Linked DNA regions of Arabidopsis thaliana. The protein of the gene in region 1 interacts with the protein of each later gene in a biochemical or structural test. Each region holds a gene or a part of one and is shown on either strand. Other genes may lie near its edges.

Region 1 (5,459 bases):
AAAAATGATTTACCCTAATTAAATCTTGGTTTCTTGTAAAACAAGGCAATGACCAGGAAGAGGCTAATATAGAGGACGAGCCAAAAGAAGAAGAGGACGAAGAAGAAGTAGCAATAGTGAGAACAAGATCTGTTGGAACTATGAAGATTCTATTGAAGGCTTGGAGAAAGCTTATAATCAATCCAAATACATACGCAACATTGATCGGAATCATTTGGGCTACTTTACATTTCAGGTGTGAAAACAAAACTCTCTTATATTTAACACTGCAATCATATCTTTTGTGATAAATCATCTTACACATCTAAAGATTCAATCTTTATCATCTTACATATTCAAACACTTCCTTTTCTCTTTTTCAAAAAGAAAAGCGATAATTTAGTAGTGAGTTTCCCCTATTTTAAGCTTTCTGTTTGATCATTTTTCGCATCTACAAATTCATTTTTTTTAATATTTTAAAATCGAAAAGTGATAGTCAAGTGATATTCCCAACTATTAAGATTAGCTTCTTTTTTTAATAGTTTGTATCAAATGTTACTCATGTTTTTATTTATTTTCTCCAATAGATTGGGATGGAATTTGCCTGAGATGATTGATAAATCAATACATTTATTATCTGATGGAGGCTTAGGAATGGCCATGTTCAGCTTAGGTAAGCTATATATCTATACAAAAAAAAAAAAAAAACTAAACTTTCATGATTGGAAATTAAATTTAATTTAACAAAAAATGAAACAGGTCTGTTCATGGCATCACAAAGTAGTATCATAGCATGTGGTACAAAAATGGCGATTATAACAATGCTGCTCAAGTTCGTATTAGGACCTGCTCTTATGATTGCTTCTGCGTATTGCATCAGATTAAAAAGTACTCTCTTCAAAGTAGCAATATTACAGGTGAAAATATTAAAATTAATAATCCGTTAATAATAAAATCTGTCATATATATGTTTTTGTCGATTGATTTATTGTGTTGTAGGCAGCATTGCCTCAAGGAGTAGTGCCATTTGTTTTTGCAAAAGAGTATAATCTTCACCCGGAGATCATTAGTACTGGGTAAATAAATATATTTCTTGATTTGATTTTTTTTTTTCCTTCTTCTTATTACAATTTTTTTGAAATTTATTTTTGTGGTTTTTATTGTTTTGCTTTTTCAGGGTGATATTTGGAATGCTAATTGCCTTACCAACAACTTTGGCATATTATTTTCTATTGGACCTATGAATATGACATGTTCAAAAAAAAAACATGTTTTATACGTAGGCTCTTAATTTTGGATTTTATATGGTATTTAATTTAGTCATAGTTTTTTAGATGTTGAAATTATAAAGCTAATAATGTCAACCATTCTCTTTAATTATTGTAAATCATTTTTCTCCTGATATTAAATTAGAAAAAAACATGTCAACTAGTAAAATCAAAATTTTGACTTATTCTTTTTAAAAAATAGGATAATAGATACTATATAGGAGTAAATATAAAAGAACACCATTTAAGAAAATTTAAATATCACATTAATAAGAACAATTCAGATGGTTAACTCTAAGAAAATAAATAGACATTGTCAAAGACTCAACAACAAAAAAAAAATTATATAAAAATAAATAAATTTTGGGGATGAAGAAAACTAGAGAGTACACGGCCTGCTTTGCTTGCCACGCAATGAAAAATGGAAAAAAGCCATAAAAAAATAAAATAAGAATACGAAAATCAAATAAAAAACATAAAAAAAATGCCTTGGAGAGAGGGGAATATATAATCAACGGTTGATAAAGAGGGACACCGACTCATGTCATATTAATCTAACGGCTGAGATATTTTTACTTGATAAGCAGGGAAATACAATATTATAATATAAATTAATTTAGGGTTACCCTTTCTTCTTCCCCTTATATACACAAACACCACACCTCATTTTCTCCAGAATCCTCCATTACTCTTCTTCTCGACTTCGGAATCTTTCAAAGCTTCTTCGATTTTTCCAGAGGCAATCATGGTTAAAGGTCCAGGACTCTACACTGAAATCGGCAAAAAGGCCAGAGGTACGATCTCTCTCTCTTTCTCTATGGTGACGCGAATGTGACTGTTGTTGACATTTCGTAAACATTTGAGCTCTTTTCTGATCTGGGTTTAGGTTGATATTCATTGAATCGGTTAGGGTTTCTCATTCCTGGTTTTATTCCGATTTCTATCGGTCACGCTTAGGTCGTTGAAATTTGAATAGATGCATAAAAAGTTAAATATTCGTGTTTTGTGAGCTGATTGATAATATCTGTGTTCGTTTCCGTCAGATTTATGCTATCCGTTTCGTTTATCTGTATAGATAGAATAACAAGACTGGTTCTCTGGGTTTCAATTTTTGGGTCACTCGTTGATTAGCTGGTTTTGAAATTTTTTATCTTGGATCTGGAAAATGTCTATCAAGGATACAGAGTAGTTGTCTCGTGTTGAACTTTTCTATTTGAGTTGAATCTGAAGGTTTTTGAATGCTATTGTAGATCTTCTGTACAGGGATTACCAAGGAGACCAGAAATTCAGTGTCACCACTTACTCTTCAACTGGTGTTGTAAGTTTTTATTATTGTTTTTATTTCTGTCAATTCTCTATTTTGTTGGTGCGATGGGTTTATTGTTAGTGATAAAATTGAGATTTGTCTAGTTTTCTGTTATGTCAAATTTGGTTGTACAGTTTGTTTTCATGTGTACTCTCACTTGACTCTTTCTTGTGTCGAATGGTGATAAATTTGTAGGCGATCACTACAACGGGAACAAACAAAGGAAGCTTGTTTTTGGGTGATGTTGCTACCCAAGTGAAGAACAACAACTTCACTGCTGATGTCAAAGTTTCCACTGATTCTTCTGTAAGTAGACTTTTTAGCTTTAGCTGTTTCTAGTAGATATATGATGTTGCCGATTGCTGCTGGAGTATTCAATTGATTTTTTTTTGTGTGTGAATAATTTCAGCTTTTGACCACTCTTACCTTTGATGAGCCTGCCCCTGGACTGAAAGTTATTGTTCAGGCTAAGTTGCCCGATCACAAATCTGGAAAGGTATATAACTCCACCAGCTTTCTTTTCTTTCTGTTCCGTTTTTTTAAAGGTTGGTATGTTGGAGATAACCATTATTTGTTGTTTTCTGAGCAGGCTGAGGTTCAGTATTTCCATGACTATGCTGGTATCTCTACCAGCGTTGGATTCACAGCTACCCCGATTGTCAACTTCTCCGGTGTGGTTGGAACCAATGGTTTGTCTCTTGGTACTGATGTGGCCTATAACACCGAATCTGGCAACTTCAAACATTTCAATGCTGGTTTCAACTTCACCAAGGATGATTTGACTGCTTCCCTCATTCTGTAAGTGCCTCCCTCCATATGAAATGATGACTTGAGATTTTAATGCTGCTGGTTTTAAAAGAGTTGTTTCTTAAACTGTTTTTTTTCAGGAATGACAAAGGTGAGAAATTGAATGCATCCTACTACCAGATTGTGAGCCCGTCGACTGTGGTTGGAGCTGAGATTAGCCACAACTTCACGACCAAAGAGAACGCCATCACTGTCGGAACTCAACACGCGCTTGACCCATTGACCACAGTGAAGGCAAGAGTGAACAATGCTGGTGTGGCTAACGCTCTGATCCAACATGAGTGGCGTCCAAAGTCGTTCTTCACCGTTTCTGGAGAGGTTGATTCTAAGGCGATCGATAAGAGTGCCAAGGTTGGGATTGCTCTCGCTCTCAAGCCCTGAGAAGATACCACCAAATGGGCCCTGAAGTGGGTAGAATAGGTGTTATTTCTTTTTCGTCTTCAAATCTTTGGACAAATCGCTGTCTGGTTTGCTAAACAATCTTTCATTTGTTTTTTTTGTTCGGTGTTGGGATTTGTAGAAAATAAAAGAGAAAAATACTATTGAAAGGATCGTCTTTGACGATAAAGAACCATTAAGATCGTTTTACTTGGCTCTCTCTCTTTTATTTTCCGCCTCTGCTACAATACTCTGTTCCATATCTTTTACTTGGTTCTCTCTTTTATTTTCTGCCTCTGCTATACTTTGTTCCATTTGGAGTTCCCTTAGTGGATTTTTCTATGAGGTTCTTCTTACATGTCTAATTAATTTTGTCTAGTTGGTCAGATTTTTATCTGAGGTTTAGCCAACAAGATAGGTACACCTTCAATAGCACCTGTACTGATTCTTACATAGAACCAAAAAGTCATCAGTTTTATTATTCTTCAAACCAAAGAACCAAAAGCAAGAGAAGTAGAACCTATTCCGATTAGAGCTTTGGACTGTATCGTGTTCATCAAAACCCCTTCTTTTCGAGCCAACACATCGATCATCTCGAAACCAACCTGAAAACAACACAAAGTTGTAGCATTGCCGAGATCAAATCCAGCAAATCAGTAAAAGAAAAAGATTGTGTCTTGTTCCATGATACTTGTTTCCTGGATTGCCCAACCCAACGATAAGCCAAGGAGTGTACTCTACTTTGAATCTATCATTCTGACCACCAGAAGTAGATGAACAAACACGATACCTCTGTTTCCGGGATACTGGCTTTTGCGTTTGAAAATGGTAGATACTTGGTGTTTTCAATTTATAAAGAGCATCAAAAATGTTTTCAATTTATAACTTTTCTATGCTTTCAGCAATGGAAGACAAAATCAGTTTTTTTTTTTTCCATTTGGATTTACCCTTCTCCATCGTACATTATTAATCAATTAAAGAGTTACCCTAACGTTGTTTAAAAATATCTCCTTGTTGCTTAAAAACGACGATAAAAGCTTGAGCCTTCTAGCTCTGTTCGTTTGTGGCCTATTTCCACCACGTAAGAGCTATGTAGTTGCTCCTTTAGGCTTTGGCGAAGGAATCTGATGTCGATAAGGCGAAGAACCATGAGGACTAGACAGTGTTCGAAACACGGGTTGGTGTTGCCCGTTTCTTGATCCAAATCCTTGGGATCGACCTGACCCATTTTTCAAACGTTCAGCTTGCATTGTCTGGAAGTAGTAAGAAGAGCTTGCCATGTCTTTCAGATGCGGAAGTGGTTTAAGTGCTTCCACAACATCACTCATCTTTGGCCTAATCTTGGGGTCACGGCTAAGACATTGTGCAGCAAGCTGAGTCACTTTTTGAGCACCTTTGATTGAAAAATGGCCCTCAAGCCTCGGATCAAGTAACCGGTAAAACCTTCTCTTGTCAAGAAGATGCGGTCTTGCCCATTCCACTAAGTTGTGCTCACCATTTGGGCGGTTTTTGTCCATAGATCGTCGTCCAGTCAACATTTCAAGTAGAACCACCCCAAAACTATAAACATCGCTCTTTGATGTCAAGTGACCTTAACAAGTTCAACAGGAAGCAAATCAACAAAGATGTAAACATTGAATGTTTTCAAGTTGAAGAAAATGGATGAAACCAAAGAGGACTCACCGGTCATTACATATTCGGGAGCAGCATAGCCATATGTA
Region 2 (5,038 bases), on another chromosome or scaffold:
CATCAGGTTTTGGAATAGATCCATCCACAAATCCAAGCTTATTCTTAGCTTCAATGCTAGTAGTCATGGCTATAATCCAGGTACCATAGCTGTTTCCATCTAACAGTTCTGGAGCTAAGACTAAACCAGGATGATCGGAGCTAACAAGATGATAAGGACTGTGACTATTATCAGGAGAATCCGATACCTCAAAGTGACGCGATGAGCTGTATTGAGCTGGTTGATGAATCGCAGCATGAATCGAGGATCCTGGAGCTCTTGCTGATGAACCAGAAGACTGCTCATGAATCTTCGATGAAGCAATGACAAGTAGATCCGGTGAACTACTCCGACGAACACTCTTTCCATTTCGTTTACCCATGGAGAATCGAAACAGCTAACAAATGAGACTGGATCGCAAAGGAAACGAAGAGAAAACGTGTAGAAGTTCAAGAGAAGAAAAAAAATGAGAAGATGAACAAACTCCGGTGAGATTCCAGTGAAATCAAATCGGAAAAGTTTGTTACGAGACTGAGATCGAGATATTTTGCTCTGATACCATATTAGTAAAACAATCTCATTCTCATTAATTAGCAAAAGAGTACAATTGGGGGTTTATATACAAACTGATATTGGCCTAAACCATAAGCCTCTAAACCAAAATTAAGATTGGTTTATAGAATACCAACCTGTACAGACTCTATATGAAATCTATACTAACCAAACTAAGCTTATATACAACAATCTAAGCTATATACATTAATAGACGAAATTTTTAAACAAAACCCAGGATTCGAACATCAAATAACCCATCCCCAACGCAACAAATATTATCAACCAACTTTTCATTTCATCAATGACACTGTGAATCATATAAAAGAGATATGATGTCGGTGTTGAAGATAACTTCTTTATTGTAAGATTATTTTGATCGAATAAGCTGCCTCAAATCTTCTAATTTCGACAACTCTTTATCTGTGAGGACACTATGAACACGTTTGTAAAAATCCATCACTTGGTCTCTAGCTACCACCATTTTCTTTCTTCGCATAGGGCTGGGGAATAATGAGTTCTTACAGTGAAAACATAAGTGGTGACCGGACGCATTGAACCTAACATCGTAGAAAACATTGAGGAAATTTTTGTAACATAATAAAAAGAGACATGTGGAAAGAGAAAACAAAAATAAAACAAAATATTGAGAAGAAACCAAGAAAGGAGGAATTTCTTTAGTAGAGAGATCTACCGAGATTATAAAGAAATTGAGGAGTAGAAGAGATGTCAGCGAGCTAAAGTGACATCAGAGGAAAGACTTTGAAGTGGTTCCTCAATACTAGAGGTATATAAGAAAAAGAAAAAGAGGCAGATCCAAAATGTTGGTTTTGAAAGTTTTATAGATTTTTAAGATTTTGTTTTTGTTTTCATTTTTCAAGAGCTAATTGTCATACCATTACCAATCAAGTTTTAAAATGTTGGTTTTCCAAGAAAATACTTTTGCTATAATCTTTTTTTTTGTCATCAGATATTATTTAGGATTCAACGAACCAATTTTGAAGAAAATTGTTAACAAAAGCGAATTTTTCATGCCAAATAGTTTTTTATTCAAAATTTTAGACTTTTAGTTATCTTATAAGCAAGCGTTATAATTTATTTATTTTTTTAAAGAAAATTTTGAGAAAAACAATTGCGAAAAAATGTCAGGAGATCTTCAAATGTTCAAAAATACAAAAAAAAAAAAAAAAAAAAAAAAATTAGTGTGGGGTAAAATAATACGTTTAAATTTTATTGACTTTTCATTTCAATAGTCAACTTTTAGTGACTTCTTATTTCAGTCGCTAACTTTTTGTTGATGTTGCCAAAATAGTCATTAAATTGACCCGAGATCACAAATTGCGGGTAACGGAACTTTGTTAAAATTTCTGTTAAATCCACAAGTGACTGGATTAAAAAAAAAAAGTGCAACTGGCCTAATATGAGCCCAATAAAAAATATCTCAAAAGTTTTATGGGCTTATTACAGATGGGCTTAGTCAGAGCACTATCTTACCCAAACAATTAAAAAAACAATTTACAATATGTTTTCGTTTTCTACTTTTTTCGGTTATTTTGGGCAAATGATATCTACAGCTCAACAAATCAAAAAAATTCAAAAATATTTCAATTTATTATTTCTCGATTTTTTTCACAACTGTATTTTAATTGTATTTTTAGTAGAAATACTTATTTTTCCAAAAATATTTGTTTGTGTTGATGTATATATAAAAAATCTGCATCAGTGTTTTGTCTACATTTTCTCTTCCATTAGTTTCGTTATCTTTTTATTTTCTCTATCTATCTGGATATTATTTTTTCACTTGGGGATTTGGAGAAACCTCTCCTCTCTCTATCTATAGCCATGGCTGCTTTCACTTGTACCTCTCGTCCTCCGATTTCTCTCCGCTCCGAGACCAGAATCGTATCCTCATCACCATCGGCTTCTTCTCTCTCTTCTCGGCGGATGTTCGCCGTCTTACCGGAATCATCAGGTTTGAGAATCCGTCTTTCTCTCTCTCCGGCTTCGTTGACCTCGATTCATCAACCTAGGGTTTCTCGATTACGAAGAGCCGTCGTCTGTGAAGCTCAGGAAACTACTACCGATAGTATGTTTTCTCACTATTCCTTTTTCGATTTTGGTTATTAACTTGTCTTTGATTCGTGCTCGTTGGTGGATTTTGAGAACTGATTATTGATTTGTGCGAGGGAAATTAGAAGCAAGGTGCTTGAATTTGTGTTGTTGTTCTTGTTGTAGCATTTAGTAATCTGCTAAAAACTTGAGATTAGTTACAGATTAGTGAATCTGGAGGAGGAAGAAGAGTTTCTTTAGGAGAGTATACCTTTTGAGAAAATTCTTGCTGAAAATGAGGTTTCTGTTAGAGGAACGATTCATGCCATTTGCGTGAAATTTGAAGAAGGTTGCTTTTTAGGATCACTTCTTTTTTGGGGATATTTTACTTGATTAATGCAAAGTCTCTCTAACAAACCTAGAAATTAGGTTGGGTACCTACTCAGATATTTTATTGGTTGGATCATACACATTGTGACAAGAAACAGTTATTTGGCTCATGAGAGAAGAATGTTGCTTTTTGTGCTTTAGAGTAAACATATCTTGATTCTCTATACCAGCAGATAACGATTTTGGTTATCACTAGCATTGATATTCTACGATTTTAGATAGGTAAGTCCTTTTCCGTGATAATGTGTTTGGTGAGATTAGCAGTATTATCTGCTACAATGTTAACTCAGTCATTGGTCTCTCCTCTCTGGTGAAAACATAAAGCTTTATCCTTCACTGGATCTATCAAATTTCTATTTTGAAAAACTTTCACTTCTAGATCATTTTTAGGAAATATCATATAGACTTGCTACAACATACTGATCTAGCTGAAGATGGATAAACGGGTCAGCTGTCTCTTTGTTTTATTCGTCCACCTTGGCTGATATATTTTGTTTTCATTCATGATTCTAAAAGCTTTGGCAATAAGGTGTTGATTTGTGTTATTGATCCTGCAGTTCAAGTGGTCAATGACTCGACATGGGACTCTCTAGTTCTTAAAGCAACTGGGCCTGTAGTTGTCGACTTTTGGGCACCATGGTGTGGACCTTGCAAGATGATTGATCCGCTTGTAAACGATCTAGCACAGCATTACACTGGGAAGATCAAGTTCTACAAATTAAACACTGATGAATCTCCTAATACTCCCGGCCAGTACGGAGTTAGAAGCATCCCAACGATCATGATCTTTGTCGGTGGCGAGAAGAAGGATACAATCATAGGTGCAGTGCCCAAAACCACACTCACATCTAGCCTCGACAAGTTCTTGCCATGAAATATCACTTGTGGAGTCTGTAAGATCTCGTATCTCTCTGTCTCTCGTTCTTGTTCTCATTATCTCTGTAACTCATTATCACTGAACATCTAGACCTGGATAAATAATATGATGTCATGTCTTATGTCATTTTTACTGGTTTGAAGATGTTTTGAGATGCGGAACTAAAGGTATCAAAGAACAATCTTGGACTAGACTAATGGAACCACATTAAAATGATTCCACCAATCTTTTTTTGGTCATGAGAGAGATCTTAAGATTGTTTGGTTCTGCAAGTTTTTTGATGAACACACGCTAAGGTTTGTTACTTATTCTAAAACTCCTCGTATTAAAAGATATTATGCGACACTCTAATGAATGAGCACATGTATGCAAAAGGGGCTAAAGGTTCATACATGTCCTAATCTAAAGAAAGAATATACGTATTCAGCTGAAAAAGGTCTTTATCGACCACGAGCAAAAGAGAATAAATACGTTCGAAATATCTCCTTATTTTTGCATAAGCAAAGAAATTCATCCACCATAGTTTATGTGTACCCAATTTGTGGATAAGGATATGTCAATTAGGACAAAATGAATAATAGCCGAAAGAATTGAGTTATTTTTGGACTGATCCCACAGTTCCCGACAAGCTTTTGAGGTTTTAGAGTTGTTGATCCGGTCTATGACTAAAGTTCGACCAAAACCAAGTTATTTAGTTTGGACAATATAAATCAGAAATATCAAGAAGATAAATTATATGATTAGTTCATAAAGTTTTAGTTTTAGATTGCCAAGAAAATATTCTAATATATTAGGTCTGAACGAAAGTGTTAAATCTGATGAAACCTCTCTATTGGTAATGTCTTTTTTTTTTTTTTTTGGTTGCCGTCCTTGGTTTGAGAATTATATATTTAGGCTGAAGATAAGGTCAAAAGAAAGATGCAATCCGGTTTTATAATAATAGATCAGTTGGACTTTTATAAATGCATTTTCGTGACTTTTGTTTGTATCAAACAACTTTCATTATAATATTATGATTTGGACTTTGTAAATGGTCTTCTCGTGTCCTTTTGATTGTATCAACTTTCGCGACCTAAGAAGTCACGACGACGTACATAAATGGAACATGAGCATAATGATCAAAATTAGAACAAGTGTGAAATATCGAAACAAAGGCAAGTCAATATCGGACAGCTTCGTACGTGAAACCTA
Region 3 (4,910 bases), on another chromosome or scaffold:
TCCCGGTAAAAAATCTCTCTGTCATGTCTTATGTTCTTCCACGTCGTTCCTAATCTCCCAAGACAGAATCTCTAAACTTCATTTTGCTCCTTTTCCACACAAAACTTTCTCTCCCTCCAAAGACCACAAAAAATGTTCTTCCTTCCTTCAACTTCAAGTATCTCTCTTTATTCACACGTATAGCATCCAAAACCAAAAATCTATAACCTTTTCCTCTGTAAAGTTTCTTCCTTTCTAACCTTCCCGAGAAAAAAACAAACCCTTTCTGTTAGAAAACCATGAGAGGTCTCGCGGCTTGTTACAGTGAACACGCCATTAAAGTATCAGATACATATTGTTCAGGTCCATCGAATCATTCCTATATATCTCCGACATTACCTCCTTCAATCCCCGACACAGTAACCACCACTTATAGATCCAATCTCCCATCTTCCGACAAACCCGTCTCTGTTTCACTCACCTGGTCGGATAATCTCACCGTCGTCATCTCAACGCCGCCGAAATCATACTCTGTTTCACTCAGAAAACCTAAAGGATCAAGAAAGTTGACTTCTTCCTCCGGTTCACTCAACGCCGAGATCCTCTGGGATCTATCGGAAGCAGAGTACGAAAACAACGGACCTGAACCAATAAGAAGATTCTTCGTCGTCGTCGTTGTAAATTCCGAGATTACCCTCGGAGTCGGCGACGTTGACCACGAGCGAGACACGTCATCATCGTCGTCGTGGCGAGTCTCAAAAACGGAGAGATTCTCTGGAACTTGTTGGCTCACGACGAAAGCTCAATTCTCCGACGTCGGAAGGAAACACGAGATACAGATTCAATGCGGCGGAGGAGGAGGAGGAGGAGGAGAGGAAGGGTATTTATGGAAAGTGAAAAGTCCTGAAACGATGTCGGTTTATGTTGATAAGAGGAAAGTGTTTTCGGTGAAGAAGCTTAAGTGGAACTTTAGAGGGAATCAAACCATGTTTTTCGATGGAATGCTTATAGACATGATGTGGGATTTACACGACTGGTTCTACAAAGAAACGTTGTCGTCTGTTTCGACTAGTTCATCGTCTAAAACGGCGTCGTCGTCATCGTCTTCTTCAACTTCATCGTCTACTCCTCCGTGTGCTGTGTTTATGTTTAGGAGGAGGAGTGGTTTGGATAGTAGATTATGGATTGATGAAGATGAACAAGAGAGTGAGATGAAGAAGAATATTGGTTCTAGAGATGAGAAACATTCGTTTTCACTTATCATTTGTGCCTCTAAAAAGTGACCAAATAAACAAATAAACATTTTAACATAACTCTTCGTTGTCTGAAATTTTAATTTTAAGAATATTTTGTGTTGCATTTAGGTATATCTGATAGGTTGATTAGATCAAATGTTTTTGTGTTTTTTCTCTGCCAAATGTTCGTGAGAATGCAAGAGATATTCAAATTGTGTTCATCAAAACTAAAATTTATATTCAAAACCGTGGATGGCAAACTATGCATAAGATAAAATGTACATAATTTTTGTTATCTTCTAAAATAAATGTACCTAATTTAATAGCCTAATAATATCTTCTAAAGTTATTAACTTTTGTTTATGACAATGATGATGATAGGAGCATTTTCGATATTTCCAAAAAAAGAAATGGAAAGGACATTGCAACAAAATTGAAAATTCAAACAAACAAACAAAATAAAAAGTGCAGCTAGGGGATAAAATTCAAAAGGCAGGATAGAAAATAAACAAGAAAGAATTCATGAATAAATAAAAACACTAGAAGTTGAAATTCTGAAAAATACTTGAAAAGAATTGATACAATGAATTTGATGATTCATTGTCCGAATTAGACTACTCACAGTCTCACATAAATATCAATTCTAAATTTTTGGTTCCAAGATCTCAAAGTCTTCACTTCTCATTTTGTAAACACAATTTTTTTCAAGGGAAACAAAAATTGAATCATTTTACCTGAGGAATATTATTGGGCTACAATGGGCCGTAGTGAGGCCGAAGTCACACCTTAAATAGAACGTGGTAGAAGTTACTATAATATTAGAGTTACAAACCAGTAATCACGGAAGTAGTAAAAACGGCCCATAGAAAGTATAAACAATCCAACGGCTGAAAAAGCTTACCTTGGAGAAGAGTCCAAAATATCTTCTGGAAGCTACCATCACTCTCTCCTATATAACTCAAAATTCACCATCATCTTCATCATCATCATCATCATCATCCTTTCTTTATCCAACTTTCTTCACCAAATCGATTCTTCTTCAACCATGTCTTCCTTCACCTCCAAATTCGCCGGTAACACTTCATCTCTCTTTCTCAGTACTCTGTTTATCAATTTTCTGCACAATCGATATTAATTTGTGTCACAAGTTTGGATTCTTCGTTGATACGGTGCTACTTTGATGCGATCTCGTCTTCTGCACTAAAAATTGATAGATTATCCGATCACGCACATCAGAATGATTTTAGCTGTCTTCGATTTGGTTTTTAGGTCTTACGGTTTAACGTTTTTGAGGTTTATATAAAGGCTTTGGACTAGTTGTTTAAGTGATCTGACTATACGAGTCTAATTTTTGGGTTTTGCTCTTGCAGATGAGCTGATTGCTAACGCTGCTTACATCGGAACACCTGGAAAAGGTATCCTTGCGGCAGATGAATCAACTGGTACTATTGGGAAACGTCTCGCTAGCATCAACGTTGAGAACGTTGAATCCAACAGACGTGCTCTTCGTGAGCTTCTCTTCACTACTCCTGGAGCTCTTCCTTGCCTCAGTGGTGTTATCCTCTTTGAAGAAACTCTTTACCAGAAGAGCTCTGATGGTAATTGACAGTTTAACATCGCTATATGTCTGAATCTGTGTATCATCGTTGACTTTGATTGGGGTTGATTTTGGTTGTGATGCAGGTACGCCTTTTGTTGATATGTTGAAGAGTGCAGGAGTTTTGCCTGGTATTAAGGTTGATAAGGGTACCGTTGAGCTTGCTGGAACCAATGGTGAGACTACTACTCAAGGTCTTGATGGTCTTGGTGACCGTTGCAAGAAATACTACGAGGCTGGTGCTCGTTTCGCCAAGTGGCGTGCGGTTCTTAAGATTGGTGTTAATGAGCCATCTCAGTTAGCTATCCATGAGAACGCTTATGGATTGGCTAGGTATGCTGTCATTTGTCAGGAGAACGGTCTTGTGCCGATTGTGGAGCCTGAGATTCTTGTTGATGGCTCTCATGACATTCAGAAGTGTGCCGCGGTGACAGAGCGTGTTCTTGCAGCTTGCTACAAGGCTCTGAGTGATCACCATGTCTTGCTAGAAGGAACACTCTTGAAACCTAACATGGTTACTCCAGGATCAGAGAGTGCGAAGGTTGCACCAGAGGTGATTGCTGAGCACACTGTCCGTGCTCTTCAGAGGACAGTTCCAGCTGCTGTTCCAGCCATAGTGTTCTTGTCTGGTGGACAGAGCGAGGAAGAGGCGACAAGAAACCTTAACGCGATGAACCAGTTGAAGACAAAGAAGCCTTGGTCGTTGTCTTTCTCCTTTGGAAGGGCGTTGCAGCAGAGCACTTTGAAGACTTGGGGAGGAAAAGAGGAGAATGTGAAGAAGGCTCAAGAAGCGTTCTTGGTCAGATGCAAAGCTAACTCTGAAGCAACACTTGGTGCTTACAAGGGTGATGCTAAGCTCGGTGAAGGTGCAGCTGAGAGCCTTCACGTTAAGGATTACAAGTACTGAAGAAAGAGGCTGAGGATCGTAGTTTTTATATCATCGTTTATGTTCTTGCTTTCACTTTCTCTGTTTTTTGTTTGGTGTTTTGTTTAGAAGAGTGGTGGCACCAAAGAACCCCGTTTATACTTTTTTATGAGGTCTTTGTGTTCTTATGAAGCCTTTTTAAAAATGAATATTAGCTTGTTGGGTTATAATTTAACATTATCAATAGTGACGACATTTGGGCGGTTGTATAGTTCATAATGTCTACCAAACTCAAGAAAATAGAAAAGATCATCGAAATATTTTGGACTCCCAACTTTGAAACCCAAAGGTAACATACAATCTCTAAAAGGCCTCCTGGCACAACAGAAGAACAGGCCAGTGAGGCTACCAACCATGCTTACACATTTCAACATCCATATTTTTTAGCATTAGAAAACTCTTTTCTTTTGAATGTTGTATTTATTCAATCAAAACGAAATATGTACATATTCTTTTTTTCTTTTGTATCAGTGATCTACTTGCAAACTTTTTGGAATCCTTTGATATCACCACTATTTCTACGTTGAAAGGATTTACCGACTGCTTTAATAATATAGTTAACATTCTACCTAGTAATTAATTTATGGCATAAGAAGTAAGATCAAAAGCAAAATTTTTACTAGACAATGTATTTTATATACACAAAAAGCTTTTGTTAGGCAAGCATTAAAGCTAGCTTACCATTATTAAAATATATATATATATATATATATATATATTTATTAGAATCATTCTCTACGTAGTCAATAGAATAATTAGTTTTGATTTTTCGTTAGTTACAACAACAAAATATCTGAGAATTGAGAGACTTTGAGAACATATAGACACCATACTTGGAGACTTTGAGAACAAATAGTATAGACACCACAACTTTCACTTAGACTTTGGGAAACTATAATGAAACCAAGTATTTACTACACCGTGGGTTAGTTATAGATTCAAATTAAGTGGTATTTGTAGCCAATACATTAGTTAGCATATGAATCTAGTACTTGTTCTGATTTATTTTCTGTTAATCAAGTTTAATTAATTAGTTTACAATGTTTATGCTTGATTTTTACATAGATATCCGACAGCCTAGTAGATCAAGTGCCAACCGGCACGCACCAGCAGACGTAGGTGATAGAGAAAATTTGATTTAATTAGGTGAATTTCTTTTTTCACACACATACAT
Region 4 (8,226 bases), on another chromosome or scaffold:
TCTCGGCTCTGGTCTTCTTAACACCACCTTGACGTATGTGTAGTGCATGCCTTATGTGTTCCTCCTCGATCTCAGGGAAGAGCTTTCGAGCGCTTAACTTCTGATGATTTTGAAATGCCTCTGAAGAGTTATCAGTGTGAAGCCTGTGGTTATTTTCTGCTGATGGGTTCAATGGAACAGTTGAAAAGGATTTGACTACTGGTACTCTAGCTGGAAAAGGTGTTCTTGAAACCGGAAGGTTTTGGGTAACGTCGGGCTTATTCCTACTTTTGATGGTTGATGCTCTGTCTGTGGATAGTGATCTCCTACTTGGACTCGGATTTAACCTCTCTTCTGCTAGATTCGGCATCCTCGGGCTTGCTTCTCTATTTCTCAGTGCAGACGGAAACCCTGACTTTCTCTGCTTGCCAGTTGAGCAACTTCTGGTCTGCAAATGGCATTCACCAAACTGATTAGATAAAAGTCTCTTTTACCAACAGATCAATAAAAAAGAAAAATCTAGTCTCTGAGTGATTTACCTCGTAGCTTCTGGTACCGTCGTTTGGCTGTGGACTTGCCTCAGCCTTTGTTCCAGCACCGTTACCAGTTCTTGGGAGATGGAAAGGAGAAACTGCTCTTGCTCTCTGACATTCAGTTGTGTTCCGAATGCTACCTGATCGCAATTGTTCCAGCTCTGCTTCCTTCTTCTCCATGGCCGATTTAAGGCTGGATATCTAAATATGTGGAAGAAAGATTGTTACAACATATTTATTAAGATTTGCACAACGAAAATGAAACTGATGCCATATGTACCTCATCCTTAAGATCTCGAATTTCACCGGTTTCCTTGTTTGATCGAGCTGCTCCAAGCTCAATGGATGCAACCCTTTGGGCAAACTTAAGGGTGCTGATAGTCTCCCCTACCGCATTAACTTCAGGATTAATATGTACAAACATTAAAGTTTTTGCTTGTCCACCTGCACATAGTTTCATAGATGAGAGATGAAGCTACAACAAAGCACGGGGAAATAAAATGGCTTGCAAAACTTAGTTTTTGTGTTCGTTTACCTAAGGAGTCCTGCAGAACTTGTGTAAGCTTGCTATTTCTGTAGGGAACGTGGGAACTCTTTTGTGCAAGTGCATAAATGACATCTCCTAATGCAGACAACGATTTGTTTATGTGTTGAGCTTCTTTGAGTCTCTCGCCTACAGCTTCGGATTTTTCTACTCTTTCACTTCCAGCCAAATCCACTAAATGAAGGCAGCCTCTTAAAATGGATCCTGAGGCCAATTCTTTTCCTTGGACGTGAACAGTTAATACACTGCAGTAGAACACACAGCATTCAACGACTATTATATGATCATAGGAAAATTTTAAAGCTTGAATTAAGCACTGGTATAAACAAAGATTTACCTATGAGAACGGCTGCTCCTCTCATTCAAAGCAGTGGCACCCACAGCACGATTCTTTTGGCCAATCCTCATCAAATCAAGGACATCTCGAGTATTAGAAACTGGAATCAAGTTTGCATCGGGTACATTAAGGCCATTGAGTTGAGAATTATTGCGTATGTCTAATGTGAGAAACTGGTCAAGGATTACGGGATTCTCAGAGGAAACACTCGAGAAGAATATGTAAATATTTCAACACTATAAAGTATATGAAAGGATATCTTCTGGAGGAACCATCACTGACTAGTAGATCTCTAACTTGTTCATTATATATTTCGATCATTTGGACTCCAATTTCATAAGTCACCACATGTGTTCTTGCATTTGAAAGCTGGAAGAGATCGCGTAGAGCTCGGTAGTTCACGCCCCAAGTTGTCTCCGTCATCAGATCTGGCCCACTCTGTAAGGCAAAACAGAGACAAACCAATGTCAAAGGCAGAGTAAGAAATAACAATGTCTGACGGTTTATGGGAGTCACCATGCAAGCAAATAGAAATGGTCATACCATCGTATACGTTTTCCCTGAACCGGTTTGCCCATACGCGAAGATACAAACATTGAATCCGTCGAGGACGGACCTTATTACCGGTTGAGTGTCAATGTAGATTTGCTCTGGTAAGTAAACAACCAAATATCAATAGACAAGAAATTAAGCATCATGAAAATAGTTAGGTGGTGCAAAACCAACCAATTCAAAGCTAAGTCATATATAACAAAAGTCTCAAAATATCTTTGAAAATTTGAATGCACTTGGAGATGGACATCGATGGAATAACAAAACATACCTTGTGAGACAGTCTGTCCAAATACTTTGTTGAAGGAAAATATTTTCCGTGCATCTTTCTCCTGCTTGAAAGGATTGTTAATGATAATATTACCATTTTCTCCAATATAATCCACAGTTGATTGCATATCTTTTTGTTCTTGGAAGAAAGGTCTGACTCTGCAGTAAACTCTAATGGTGCCTACAGTACAACGAAAACAGAAGTTGATACACTACAAAATACTAAAACTCAAATGCAACTATGCAAGGATGTAGTAGGTCGTGGTACCTTTGAGATCTTGAACCTCATTGTAAAGTAAGCGATTTTCCTCCAGAACCTTGTGGTAAGAAGAAGATGTAACTTCCATGGCCTTAACGTGATGGACTGCCATAGAGGATGATAGAGATTGATCATGTAATCTCTAATTACCGAGAAGAGAAAATTTGGGTATAAGAAGATTCATTACCTATCCTCTGAAGCTCTTTCTGCCATTCTGACTGCATTTGTTTAACTTGGCTTCTTGTTTCCACAAAATTTGATTTAACTTCCTACATGAGTTCATCAAAGCAAGAAATCCATTCCGTAAATTCAAGATTCTTACACAGCTTTCATTTACGAATTGACCAAATGAGAAAGTTCGAAAGCAAGAGAAAGTATTGGAAGAGAAATGTAAATTCTGACCTCCAGCTCTTTCTGTTGAAGACCAATAGCTTCTACATGACCCGGAGAAAATTCGCGGGCGTTTAGTCTACTAAACTCAAGCTTTCCGCCACATTTACAAAACTTTGAAAACTCCTTTGACACCAAATCTTTTCTGTGCTGAAGGTATCTGAAGACTGCTGCTAGAAACTCTGATCTTGACAGATCCCCGTTATCACATTTCAGTATTTTCCTTAGAAACGAACCCAGCTGCAAATAGATACCAAAAAATAATTGTAAACCCTGGAGAAATGTCTCACCATTCGAAAAGAATTCCATGAAGAGTATGCAGAGTAAGTAGTACCTGAGCTCCCTGAGAAACTAGTATTGCAGAGAAATCCTTAACTACCCTGTTCAGCAATGTATCAATCACCTATAAAAGTAACCAAAAACTGAGAAGGTGAAACACGATATATTATTCGAGTCTTTAAATGGTTGATTCAACAGGAGTTAAGGTTTTCACATTGCGTAACTTACAGAGCAATCAAACATAACTCAAACATGTCTTACCTACCATTTCATTTAAAGGCATATCATTGATCCCATCACTCTCCTTAAGGTAACCATGTAGAAGCTGAAGCGCGAAATGATCAAAAAGAAAAGCCAAGGAGATTGCAGTTTCAGATTCCTCAGCTGAGATCTCATTAGAAAGATGAAGAAAATCCAAAAGCTGGTCATACTGAGAAGACTCAGATTCATCCAAAGAAACAGACTCATCGGTAGTACTTTCACTACCAATCCCATACTGCGGCGGAGAACTGCCTTTTCGATTGAATGATACTATCCTCACAGTCCCTCCATACCTCCATACTCCAACTCCACCCGCTTGTTTCCACTCGTAAAAACCTTTCAAACACAAAATACAATCTACTACTTTGTTCGACGATCCTCCCTGCAAAAACAGAAGCCAAAAAAAAACAATCTTTCATATCCTAAACAACTTACGAAATGCATCATTCATCATATTATCATTCTCTGGGGAATTTCATCGAACATAACATATGCATATGCCAAAAGATAAAGTAAACAACTACATAATGTGATATTGAAATAGAACCTTCTCGAGATCAGAAGCTCCAAATGTTAAAAGCTGCATATCCTCTACAGCTTTAAGAAAGTTCCTCATGTTCTCAAAATATTGAATTGCCGATTGCGCCGCTCCATCCGCGTACTGAATAGCTGGCGTAATCGGATTCTCCACCACCTTATTCAACAATCAAAATCACAAGTAATTCAGAAATTACTCGAAATTGTAGAAGATTAATCACAACAACAACAAAAAAACAAAGTTGAATCAATCACAACAACAACAAAAAAAACTCTTAATCTCATCGGAAAGTAGAAATTAAACCCTAGTTCATTGCATTAGACTAGAAGAATATAGAAGGATTAGAAATTGGACCTTGAGAACAGAACCGGGATTGACTTTGTTGAGGACGTTGCAGAGAATGAGGCCGTTGCGGAGGGCGAGGGAGAACTCGTCTTCCGACGGTTTTTCCGGGAGTGTCTCCATCGCGCCTTGGTCCATCTGTCTCAGCCATGCCACCGCTTGGTATCTTCTCAGAGCTAACGAAATTTGACAATTCACATAAACCCAAAATCAAAAATTCAAAATACATGTTTCTCGAGAAACGTATTATTAATAACGGAAAACTTAACGCGGAAATAAATTGGGCTCAGATATTGATTCAAAGCCCAATATCTTTCCTAATGGGTTTTAAAAAAATATTGTTGTTACTGTTCTTATATATAATCTTATGGCAACTTATGTTGCTTAAGGGAATATTTTTGGCTAAAATACACTAATTGCTTTAGGGAATATATACTTAGATAATCTTACATTTTTTAAGTAAATTACTTATGATTATTTTATTAAATAAACAAATTTTGTTTTCAGTGTATTTAGAGAATTTTCAAAACAATAAGGAAAAATTCAAAAAAAATTCGTAATGCAAATGTTAAAACGGACAATTTGGCACTAAAAATTCGTACCGAACTGCTTTATATCACTTATGTAAAGAATATTTATTAAGATTGACTCTTTTGATCTCTAAATAAAAACTATTGACAAAAAATAATAATAATAGTTTTGTTGGTTTAAAAAATTTTACTTTTTAGCTGGTTACCGTTTGACCATCTGAATTAGTAGAATTTTGCTTTTAAATTTTCTCTATGTAAACACTATTTTTGGATAATTACTCTTTGAGTCCTCGAATTAGCAAGAGTTAATGACATTTCGCTATAGTGGCAAATGCGCTTTTTTGTCAATCCTCACAAAATCACCCTCTTTCCTATTTACCATCTTGTCATCAAGGTTATTTCTTTAATTATGACATAAAATCTACTTAAACAAGCTTTACAAAAATATGTTTTTTCAATTTAAAAGTAATAGTTGTGTTATAGAAAAAAGATTTGGGAGATTATAGAAAATTTGAATTGTATATCCACCATACCAAACATAAAAGTAATAATAGTTTTGCGGTTGTGGTGGGTAACCCTATAATGAAAGCCATATTCCATAAAGCAAATTTCTAAACGACTTTCTCTAAATTCAAATCAAACCCAACGTAATTGTTTTTGAATCACAAAGCTATTATTAACATATATATGGTCCATCTTCGACTTCTTTTTTCTTTACTTTATCTGATTTATATCTTCATTTTCATTATGAAAAACAATTTTAAAAAACAAACAGTGATGATGATGAGACAAACCTGTTTCTTCAGCTTTTCGTTGAGCAAGCTCATAATCTCCATTGCTTGTGGACGACACCACCAAACCCTTTAATCCTCTCATTAATTCTTGTGGCATTTTTTCACCTTTCTTCTTTTATTATTTTTCTGTTGAGTTGATTTATTACTTCTCTTCCACAAGATAGTATTTTCTGAAAACACGGTTTCATCAATACACAACTCTCAAATTCAACAAAAATGATTTTTAAACACTCATTTTGCATTTTACACAGAAATCTTAGCTTTTAGAAGCAACCCGTTTGCTGACGTTAATAGACTATTGTGTGAGAAGACCACATTGTAATTAAAAACAATAATCTTATATCTGTAAATCAAATCCATTGAAGAAGTGATAGATCCCTCTATATCTCTATAATTTGGTCAACTAATTTCACATAAGAGGTCTATCAATAAATGGAGGATTTTTGACTAGATTTAGAAGTGGGACTAGAGAGAACTTACATGCACGAACCTTAATTACAAGTGTTGAACTTGAAGGGACAAGACAATCCACGGATGATGTTGTTCATCGATCACACCATTCGAACCAGAACAAAGAACTTGGGATGATGAGCTCTTGGATGTCGTAACTTCTAAGATGGGATAGAGAGAATAGAGATTTGTGAAGAGGAAAATTAAGAGTTGATTCGTTGCCTTTTGCACTTTATTGTGTGTTTTTTATAACGGGTAGAAGATGGAGAAAGAGAGACGTGTGTAGAGAAAATCAAGTGTTGGTTCACTGTCTTTTGCTTATTTATTCCGTTTTTTTTTTCTTCTTAAAACGTCAAAGCTTATTTCAACTGTTTATCAGGATGTATTGTTATTATGAATTTATTAGTATCTTTCACAAGATAGTTTGGCAAAATAGTTACAAACTTCAATCGTTTTTTTGATGGATTTGGAAATCCGAATCGAAAAGTAAATCTTATGTTTTATTCTTTTTTTGTCGGACACATGAATGGTATAGTTAGTGTAGACTACTTTTTATAGTTGTGAATTGTAATTAGTACTTGTGTTAAAACGTAAAACCCACTCCTCTTCTTGCAGCTCATATGATGGTTGACCTTTTAAATATTCAAGATTGACACGTGGCGAGCATCCATCGAAGTCAGCTAACGAAAACGTACTCTAGTCGTAACTCGTAAGTCGGCCCACCTGATACCTCACTAAGCAGCATTATATGCCCTAAAACAATTCCTCCCTCTTTTTCATATACTTAATTTTGTATATTTTGCTTTCGTATCGTATTTTCAATTTTTTATATGTGTGACTTTGGAATCAATTTATATATATAAGTGACTTTGGAGTAGATTATATATGTTTGAAGTGTTAGGAAAGAGAATATTTCTAAGGACTAAGAAATAAAAACACTGTCTTTTGGAAACACCGAAATTGAACTTGGTAAAGCGATTCAATAATATTATGGAAATTAAATATAATGAACTTATTTTGGATATAATACTGCATTGTTATAGGGAAATACATTTGTGGGTTTTGTTCATATATATTTAGCCGTTATCATTGCCATTATGTAACAACGACTATTGAGTTATACATATAGTTTTAGTTTAAACTTTAGATTAATTTTCGGGTTCAGTTGACCGGTTAAGTTAGATACTTGTATATAAAGAACATATTGTATAGTTTTGCTTCTTTCATGAAAACAGAATTCGTAATCGTAATAAACTCCTCTCTCAATTTCTCCTTCTCTCTAGATTGTATTAGTGACTTTTATAAATTGTTCTTATTTTATTTTTGAAAGTGGTGGGAGATGTTATTTCCACAAAAATAAAAGAAGAAATCATATATGAATAGTAGACGTTGGATCCTATGGAATTCAAATGATTACGGGCGGCACAATGAAAGCTTTCGAGATTGCTTTTTTCTATTCTTTCTTTTCCCACATTTCCTAACCCAATTCAGCGAACCAGTTAATTTATTAACACTAACAAATTACCACAAAAACACAACAGGATTTTCAGTGTTACTCATAAATATTTTCATATGCTATCTTTAAGAAATGTTGTATTTATGAAAATTCTATCTAAAATTTAAAGAAATAGTTATAAATAATTTAACCCAAAAAAAGAAGTTATAATATCTTTTTCAAACAGTATTAATTGGTGTTAGTCTTTAATAGTAACAGATATTATGTGGTTAAAAGTTGAAAACAGTAAATAAGAAAAATGGAAGGTGAAAACAAAAATAAAAGAGAACCCTAGCTTGATGTAGAAGTGTTGTTAAAAGAAAAAAAAAGGCTTGAAGTAGAAGATTGTGATCAGATATGACAGAAGTAATTAGGTGTGATGAGATTGTAATTTCAATCAAGTCTTCTTTTTGTTTGTTCTGTTTTTCATAAACCAATCAATTAAGTTTAAGACATTGAGATTAAAATAAAAAGAAGAAAGAAAGAAGTAGTTATGATCGCAAGAATGCTTTGTTTGTTTGTTGGTCGCATGGTCCATTATTTTCTTTACCATCATTTGCGCATGAATCTCTCTTTTATTTGTTGTGTTTTACCATAAATTGCGCAATAATATCTATGCACTAATATGGGCTGGTTATAAGCGGCCCAAAGGTTTACTCGTGCCCAAGGCTGG

Evidence for each region.
Region 2: the proteins of VDAC3 (region 1) and ATHM2 form a complex in vitro, tested with the Arabidopsis thaliana proteins (one study listed by BioGRID).
Region 3: the proteins of VDAC3 (region 1) and FBA6 interact in far-western blotting, tested with the Arabidopsis thaliana proteins (one study listed by BioGRID).
Region 4: the proteins of VDAC3 (region 1) and KP1 form a complex in vitro, tested with the Arabidopsis thaliana proteins (one study listed by BioGRID).

What each region holds. Positions count from the first base shown.
Region 1 is NC_003076.8:4,887,923-4,893,381, reverse strand, and holds VDAC3 (voltage dependent anion channel 3), read left to right. Parts: upstream 1-1,778; 5' UTR 1,779-1,992; coding exon 1,993-2,041; intron 2,042-2,497; coding exon 2,498-2,565; intron 2,566-2,748; coding exon 2,749-2,859; intron 2,860-2,962; coding exon 2,963-3,049; intron 3,050-3,142; coding exon 3,143-3,351; intron 3,352-3,440; coding exon 3,441-3,741; 3' UTR 3,742-3,859; exon of another isoform or gene 3,860-4,089; intron 4,090-4,211; 3' UTR 4,212-4,418; downstream 4,419-5,459. Other genes in the region: PIN8 (Auxin efflux carrier family protein), read left to right, coding at 46-235, 567-652, 739-896, 979-1,055, 1,157-1,223; AT5G15080 (Protein kinase superfamily protein), read right to left, coding at 4,827-5,329, 5,422-5,459. UniProt on the Arabidopsis thaliana protein: Forms a channel through the mitochondrial outer membrane that allows diffusion of small hydrophilic molecules. The channel adopts an open conformation at low or zero membrane potential and a closed conformation at potentials above 30-40 mV.
Region 2 is NC_003075.7:1,561,391-1,566,428, reverse strand, and holds ATHM2 (Thioredoxin superfamily protein), read left to right. Parts: upstream 1-2,224; 5' UTR 2,225-2,373; coding exon 2,374-2,617; intron 2,618-3,033; exon of another isoform or gene 3,034-3,192; intron 3,193-3,527; coding exon 3,528-3,844; 3' UTR 3,845-4,226; downstream 4,227-5,038. UniProt on the Arabidopsis thaliana protein: Thiol-disulfide oxidoreductase that may participate in various redox reactions. May activate NADP-malate dehydrogenase.
Region 3 is NC_003071.7:15,295,737-15,300,646, reverse strand, and holds FBA6 (Aldolase superfamily protein), read left to right. Parts: upstream 1-1,892; 5' UTR 1,893-2,259; coding exon 2,260-2,287; exon of another isoform or gene 2,288-2,507; intron 2,508-2,584; coding exon 2,585-2,812; exon of another isoform or gene 2,813-2,897; coding exon 2,898-3,718; 3' UTR 3,719-4,034; downstream 4,035-4,910. Other genes in the region: AT2G36470 (DUF868 family protein, putative (DUF868)), read left to right, coding at 279-1,262. UniProt on the Arabidopsis thaliana protein: Fructose-bisphosphate aldolase that plays a key role in glycolysis and gluconeogenesis. Associates with GAPC1 to the outer mitochondrial membrane, in a redox-dependent manner, leading to binding and bundling of actin.
Region 4 is NC_003074.8:16,282,084-16,290,309, reverse strand, and holds the start of KP1 (kinesin-like protein 1), read right to left. Parts: upstream 6,478-8,226; 5' UTR 6,089-6,477; intron 5,779-6,088; 5' UTR 5,706-5,778; coding exon 5,609-5,705; intron 4,570-5,608; exon of another isoform or gene 4,461-4,569; coding exon 4,297-4,460; intron 4,099-4,296; coding exon 3,952-4,098; intron 3,787-3,951; coding exon 3,409-3,786; intron 3,268-3,408; coding exon 3,199-3,267; intron 3,105-3,198; coding exon 2,877-3,104; intron 2,744-2,876; coding exon 2,662-2,743; intron 2,580-2,661; coding exon 2,484-2,579; intron 2,397-2,483; coding exon 2,217-2,396; intron 2,044-2,216; coding exon 1,937-2,043; intron 1,832-1,936; coding exon 1,653-1,831; intron 1,559-1,652; coding exon 1,394-1,558; intron 1,302-1,393; coding exon 1,048-1,301; intron 957-1,047; coding exon 793-956; intron 714-792; coding exon 519-713; intron 428-518; coding exon 1-427. UniProt on the Arabidopsis thaliana protein: Required for keeping the ATP levels stable and balancing the aerobic respiration pathways during seed germination at low temperature.